Daphnia pulex: one gene and its partner. The protein of the gene in region 1 purifies or fractionates together with the protein of each later gene. This does not show direct contact. Links are inferred from orthologs where the notes say so. Each region holds a gene or a part of one and is shown in the gene's direction. Other genes may lie near its edges.

The links. The genes of interacting proteins can lie anywhere in the genome.
Region 2: the proteins of cytoplasmic FMR1-interacting protein-like (region 1) and uncharacterized protein LOC124196242 purify together in Drosophila melanogaster (affinity purification with mass spectrometry; 3 studies listed by BioGRID, with this or other methods). This does not show direct contact. The link is inferred for Daphnia pulex from reciprocal best matches to the Drosophila melanogaster genes Cyfip and SCAR.

Annotation. Positions count from the first base shown.
Region 1 is NC_060025.1:3,989,007-3,992,762, forward strand, and holds the start of cytoplasmic FMR1-interacting protein-like, read left to right. Parts: upstream 1-1,047; 5' UTR 1,048-1,159; exon of another isoform or gene 1,160-1,240; 5' UTR 1,241-1,261; coding exon 1,262-1,471; intron 1,472-1,543; coding exon 1,544-1,723; intron 1,724-1,805; coding exon 1,806-1,987; intron 1,988-2,055; coding exon 2,056-2,184; intron 2,185-2,254; coding exon 2,255-2,462; intron 2,463-2,525; coding exon 2,526-2,729; intron 2,730-2,791; coding exon 2,792-2,911; intron 2,912-2,978; coding exon 2,979-3,050; intron 3,051-3,114; coding exon 3,115-3,329; intron 3,330-3,396; coding exon 3,397-3,527; intron 3,528-3,590; coding exon 3,591-3,756. UniProt on the Drosophila melanogaster protein: Plays a role in guidance and morphology of central and peripheral axons and in synaptic morphology. Also required for formation of cell membrane protrusions and for bristle development.
Region 2 is NC_060022.1:714,632-717,858, reverse strand, and holds the end of uncharacterized protein LOC124196242, read left to right. Parts: intron 1-60; coding exon 61-215; intron 216-433; coding exon 434-691; intron 692-936; coding exon 937-1,565; intron 1,566-1,637; coding exon 1,638-1,809; intron 1,810-1,878; coding exon 1,879-1,885; 3' UTR 1,886-2,660; downstream 2,661-3,227.

The DNA of each region.
Region 1 (3,756 bases):
ATTTTTATATGGAAGTACTTGTTTAAATATTTCTTAATCACAATTGTTAGCGCACGTGTGAATAGTAGAACTGGTGTTGTAAAATAATAAAACTATTCTTCTTATTCTCTTATCTTATTTCGTTTTTTTTTAATTACATCAAAAAATAATTGTAAATAAATAAAATTGATGTAGTCGAATCTAGTTTCTCATACGTAAATAAGCTGCTGGGTTTATCATGGACGGAAAGGTTATAGAGTCCATTTACTCAACCCTCTATTTGTTGAAATTAATTTACACTCACGAACAAGACAACAATCAAGGAAGAAGGAAAGCAAAATTGGCAGAAAGTCCGAGATGCCTCAATCCGACTTGAATTAAAAAAAAACAAAACAAAAAAACTTGTAGTTAATTCCCTGAATTCAGATTTCGATTATTTGGTATGTGCGAGGAGAGGACGAATTTGGTTAGTCTTTCTGTCGAAGAATCAACACGTGAGATGGGGTTCTCTAAAAACCACTAAAATAAAAAAGAAAACAAAAGAATGAGGAGCACAGTAGAGGAGTCGAATGAATAAATATAAATAAATTTACTTATTGTATTATTATTATAACGTATAAAGGAGAGAGTAGAAAGAAAAATGGGATGTGGATAGACGGCATTGATGTTGACGATTAGTAATTAGTATTCAAGGTATGACTCTTCCCTTTTCAGCTAACCAAGGTTATCCATCCCCGATGCCATAGCAGCAACAACAGTTTGATGTTTATCTTTCTATTTATTTATTTATTTTTCCATTTTATGACCAAAATGTTTTACAAGTGGAAAAATAATATCAAATGATTATTAAAAAAAAAACTATCGGTGAAACAGAGAAGAAGAAAAGATGCATATTATAAAGGGTAGCACTGTGCTTAGCACATGCTATCGCCTTCGTACCTCAGTGAACGGAAACGAATCCGTTCCTCACCACTTGGGGGGTTCCGTTTTTCAGAACGCAGGAAAAGTTTTCATGCGTTTCCGTTCACTGGTCACTGGTGAAGATTGCAACGCCACAAAGCATCTAGCGTTAGAATTTTGAAACATTTCAAGCAAAAGATTGGACCAAAAATAAGGGCGTCTGCCAAGTTTGTTGAGTTTGACTTTTCAGTGCATTGTTGTTGATGACATCCGTTTCTGGGTAATAACACAAGCGTTGGTTGATTGCCATTAAAGTAAACAACGTCTGCTTATTACTTAATTTCAAAATCTATTCAATCAGTGACTTGGGTTATGCTACAACATGGCTACCGAGAAAGTTACACTCGCCGATGCGTTATCTAACGTTGAAGTGCTAGATGAATTGCCACTTCCAGATCAACAACCATGTATCGAAGCTCAGGCTTGTTCAGTTATTTATCAAGCAAACTTTGATACCAATTTTGAAGATCGAACTGCCTTTGTAACAGGAGTTGCGAAATACATAGAAGAGGCAACTGTTCACGCAAGCCTGGTAAGCAATAGCTACAATGAGAATGACTAAACTTTGTGTTTCAAATATTAATTTTGTAATACTTTGTTTTAGAATGATATGCTTCAAGAAGGTCAAGAGCATGCTGTAATGCTGTACACTTGGAGATGCTGTTCAAGAGCAATTCCGCAGCCTAAGTCAAATGAACAACCCAACAGAGTTGAGATATACGAAAAAACAGTTCAGGTCCTGGCTCCAGAAGTCAACAAGCTGTTAAATTTCATGTATTTTCAAGTAAGTATAATATACTCAATGAATTTAAATTGTTTGTATGTTTTTTCAGTTAACTGACAAAGGTTGAATTACTTAATTTCAGAGAAAAGCAATCGAGCGCTTCAGTGCAGAAGTGAAACGACTTTCCCATACGGAAAAGCGTAAAGATTTTGTTTCTGAAGCTTATCTTCTCACTCTGGGAAAATTCATTAATATGTTTGCTGTTCTGGATGAATTGAAAAACATGAAGTCTAGTGTAAAAAACGATTACTCTGCATACCGCAGGTAAGTCAAATATTATTCTCTCCACCATTAAAAAATAAATAAAGATACCTATTGATGTATTCTATTAGAGCTGCCCAGTTCCTTAAGGTGATGACAGATCAGCAAGCGTTACAAGAATCCCAAAATCTGTCGATGTTTCTAGCTACCCAAAACAAAATTCGCGATTCACTTAAAGAAGCTCTCGAAAAAATTCCATCGTAATGCGGCTTTATTTTTATGAAACTGATAACGACTAATTAATAACATTTTTAAAAATGCTTCATTTAGTTATGAGGAGTTGCTTGCCGATGTAATCAACTTGGCCGTTCATATGCTGGAAACTCGCATGTACCTTCTTCCGGAAGAAAAACATATGCTGGTCAAAGTTCTCGGTTTTGGATTGTTTCTCATGGATTCTGAAATATGTCAGATAAACATTTCCAAACTAGATCACAAAAAGCGAATTAGACTCGACAAAATCGACAAAATTTTTAAAGTTTGTTGGCTCTTTTGATTTTATTTCATAGACTATTATTAAACCTTTTGTTTATTTTTACAGAATCTGGAGGTTGTCCCTCTGTTTGGTGACATGCAAATTGCTCCATTTAATTATATCAAGCGGTCAAAAACCTACGATGCTTCACGATGGCCCTTGTGTGGTGCAACTCTACCTTCACCTCAGGCTGATTTAATGGTTCATTTGCCACAAATCCGTGAAGATCACGTTAAATTTACGAGCGAACTGGCACGCTATAGCAACGAAGTAAACTAATGTCATAGAGGAAATAATGCGTAATGGTCTTAAAAATAATTTTTGTAAAACAGGTCACAACTACTTATAAAGAAACGCGCTCCCCGGAGGAGATGAAAGAAATGATGGAGCTTGCTCTTCGTGGGCTACAGCTGCTGTCTGAATGGACCAGCATAGTTACTGAACTTTATTCTGTAAGACTTGTAGTTATTTTTTTTTTTTTTAATTAATTTCAACTAAGAAATTCATTTGTGTAATTAGTGGAAACTCCTGCATCCTACAGACCATCACCAGAATAAAGACTGCCCCGCAGAAGCAGAAGAATATGAACGCGTAAGGCTTGTTAACATGTTATTTAAAATTGAATTTGTTTTTAAATAAGCCCATTTACGGATAGGCTACCCGATACAATTACACCGAAGAGGAGAAATTTGCTCTCATTGAAATCATTGCCATGATAAAGGGATTACAAGTTCTCATGGCCAGAATGGAAACGGTATTTGCGGACGCTATACGTCGACATGTCTACGCTGAATTACAAGATTTTGTTCAGCTTAGTTTGCGTGAGCCCCTAAGAAAGGCAATCAAAAATAAGAAAGACTTAATTCGCAGGTAAGAGACAGAGAGTTGAAAGATCTGCAGTGTAAACTGGGACTGTTAGTAACTGAGGTTGTTTTAGCATTATCGTCTCAGTCCGAGAAACCTGTGCGGATTGGATTAGAGGCACTGAGCCACAGGACGACCCAGCTACTAAAGGGAAAAAAGATCCTGATAATGGGTTTGATATTCAAGTTCCACGACGAAATGTTGGTATGTCAAAAAATCAAACAAAAGACGCTTCTTCTTTACGGACATTCTGCCTTTATTTTACAGGACCTTCTTCGACCCAACTTTACATGGTTCGCACTATGCTAGAGTCGTTAATAGCTGACAAATCTGGTGGAAAGCGAACGCTACGTAAAGACATTGATGGATCATACCTTATGGCAATCGACCAATTTCATAAAAATTCTTTTTTCTGGAACTATTTGCTCAATTT
Region 2 (3,227 bases), on another chromosome or scaffold:
TTGTCAACTATTTTCCTAATGCCTTTTGCCAATGTGGTCTTGCCAAATTAAATTTCACAGGCGTTGTATTTGGAGGATGGAACCATGTTACCGGATCCCAGTTCAACATCACGGCCCCCGCGCCCTAACAGCATTGAAGTGAAACGTAATTACCCTAGCGAAGAGGCCATCTACGCATCCAGGAACTCGCGTAATCCGCAAGACAATGTGTACAGGTCGGTTAAATCACACGTTTTTTTACTTTTGTTGGCTGTCTGTCAAATGAAATTGATGTTGTCAACGTGTGAGAGGGTGTTGGCGTCAATTTTATTTGTTCCCAACAATTGTCATCGGTCTCTTTGCCTCTATCGTGTGCTTGGAATTTCACATTTTAAAAATGTTGTCGCTTCATGGCTTGTCTCCATCTGTCGCTGGCGTCCGACGCTTTTTACAGACCTGCCGGAATTTCTCTGCCGCCTCCGCCTTACGACGACGGCTACCCGCAGTATCCGCCTCCGCCTTACACTGCCGATTCGCTGCTGCAGCTTCAGCAGCAGCAGCAGCAGCAACTGCATCATCAGGCACAATATCACCAGCACGCAGCTGCCGCAGCATCCAGTCACTATGGCCCTGGAATGATGAATCACCACAACCGGACGTTGCAACGGACCACATCAGGAAGGCCCACGCAGCCTCCACCAGCCCCACCCGGGTAAACTAACCAAATAACCCAATAGAAGAGATACTGTAGATAACTCACTCATTATTACTCCAGTGTCACTTTATTGATCTCGTTACATCACGAATTTGTCGTCTCATCATTTGTTCATATTGTCTGTCGAGCTTTGCTTTGCTACGCTTAATTGATTAAGCTGCGTCTTCTTAATGTCGTACCGTTTACGCTTTGATGAAAAATATTGAATAATCATGAACTAACAGTCTGGTTGAATCCGGCAGGCAAATGAATCACTCGCCCAACACGACGCAGCAGAGTGGGTCGACACCGACCAGAAATCGCATGAGCCATCAGACGTCCATTGTTGGAACTATGGGTAGAGAATCGCTTCCGCCACCACCTCCACCACCGTCAGAGACCTATTCCAGCGCTGATAGGCTGTCGCAACTGCCCAATCCGCCGTACATCTCGTCCGTCATGGTCAACTCGGGTCCTCCATCAAGCACTCCTCCTCCTCCTCCACCACCACCTCTGCCACCTTCCGCTATGCTGATGCCACCGCGTGAGAGCCGCGAAAGCTCTTCCGAATCTGATTTGCCGCTCCCACCGCCTCCTCCGCTTCCTGATACCGCCCCGCCCGACATGCGAATGGCTCCTCCACCGCCGCCACCGCCGCCGCCGATGCCACTCAGCAGCCCACCGCGTGACAATGGTCACGTTGTGGCTAATGGCGATATCAACAAATTGTCGAGCACTTCGCCGCCCAAAGGATCACCAGGAAGGGGAGTGGTTGAAGCGATTCAATCATCGCCTCTGTTGTTGCAAGCGGCCAAATTGACCCCCCGTGGACCTCCTATTCCTGTTCCAGCGCTTGATGGACGGAGTGACCTTCTTAAGGCCATTCGAGATGGTAATTTAAATTTGAGTCGGTTATTGACTCAAAACGAAACTAAAAACTGGTTTACTCTTTTTTTTTTTGTAGGTATATCGTTACGTAAAGTAGAGAAGGGACAGCAACAGCAAGGTGAAAAGGGTCGAATGGATGCTCTTCACGATGTCGCCTCTATTCTAGCCCGTCGAGTGGCTATGGAGATTTCTGATTCCGAGTCAGGTTCTGACTCTGGTTCTGGGTCAGATTGGGATGATGAGACCAGGTATGATTAAATATATCTTCTTGTGGGTTATCGGTTCACAACTAATTTTTGGATCTTTTGTAACACAAGTGCTTGATGATTGTATACCTTACACGGTGCTCCGTTCTGGTGCAATTAACCTCCATTTGGACTTGAATGGAAAGAAGAAGAGTGGAATGATGCATTTTTCCACGAGACATGAATGAGACAGAAATAAACGCCATTGAGCAGATGATATTTAGACTCACCAATTTTGCGAAAACACAACAACAAACTTAAGGCGATGGGTTGTCGATTGCGTTGTTAAATCCAATCTTCGTGGCCTCCCAGCATAAATTCCAAATCTCCTAAATGGCACAAAACAATCGCATTTCCTTGAAGAATACACACACACACACACACTATCAGCAGTGTTAGTCACTTGTTTCCCCCTTACCTTCTCGTCCATTTCCCTCTATAAAATAAAGTAAAGAAAAAGAAAAGACAACACACCCCTTTAACAAATATTTGTACAGTTGAGCGTCATTTTTTTTTCTTCTTCTTCTTCTTCATTCATCAGCCAGGAGCTGGGCTTTCGTGTATTTCTGCTTTCGTTTCATATCTTTTCATGTATTCTCTGTCAATGTGCAAGTTCACTCTTCTTTATTTACCTGATTGAACCTGTTCGCATCGAATCTTGCCCTCTTCCCATTAATAATTAGCATATAATGTAGCTTCTGTACACCCCCCCCCCCCCCCACTGTGTTTTGACTCCCATCCTTTCGTGTCTGTTCAACTTACTCATATCTAAACTTTTAACTAATTAGATGCGAACCTCGCCCAACAAATGAGTGTATAACAGTGATGATTTAGGAATAAACTACAAGACCATTTTTCGGTTATTTCGTCCTCATTTGAATCAGTTAGCATTTTGGCGTCTTTAAGGAAAATAATCCGGCACAATGCACGGTTTCGAAATTTTGCTTCCTGCTGTTTCGATTACCAATGTTGGGAAATTATCTCGGAATGTCAAATGTGTTTTTATCTATTTTATTTCAGACTTTTTTTTGGGTTTTTCTCATGAAATATGTAGCAGGAAACCCCAAAAATATTTTTTTATGTATTGTATTTTTAATACTATTTAATATCATTATATTTCAACGTATTTATTTGGTTTAAAGTTTAAACTCTTTTTTATTCGTACCGTGTCGTGCCTTGCGTAAGGTATTTTTACATTTTTATTGCAACTCTTAGCCGCTAGATGGCTGTGTTCGATCAGCTGTTTGCTTGCAGAGAAACTCTTCAGAAAGTGGTAAAAGTGACACAAAACAGTTGTTCTGGGACTGTTGTTAAGAGTGAAAGCAGGTGAACGAGCTACCTGTCATACATATTGTATAGCTTTCTTAACTCTGCCCCATGTGTTTTACGGATTCATCAAATCAGATCCTGTACAGCTAAGG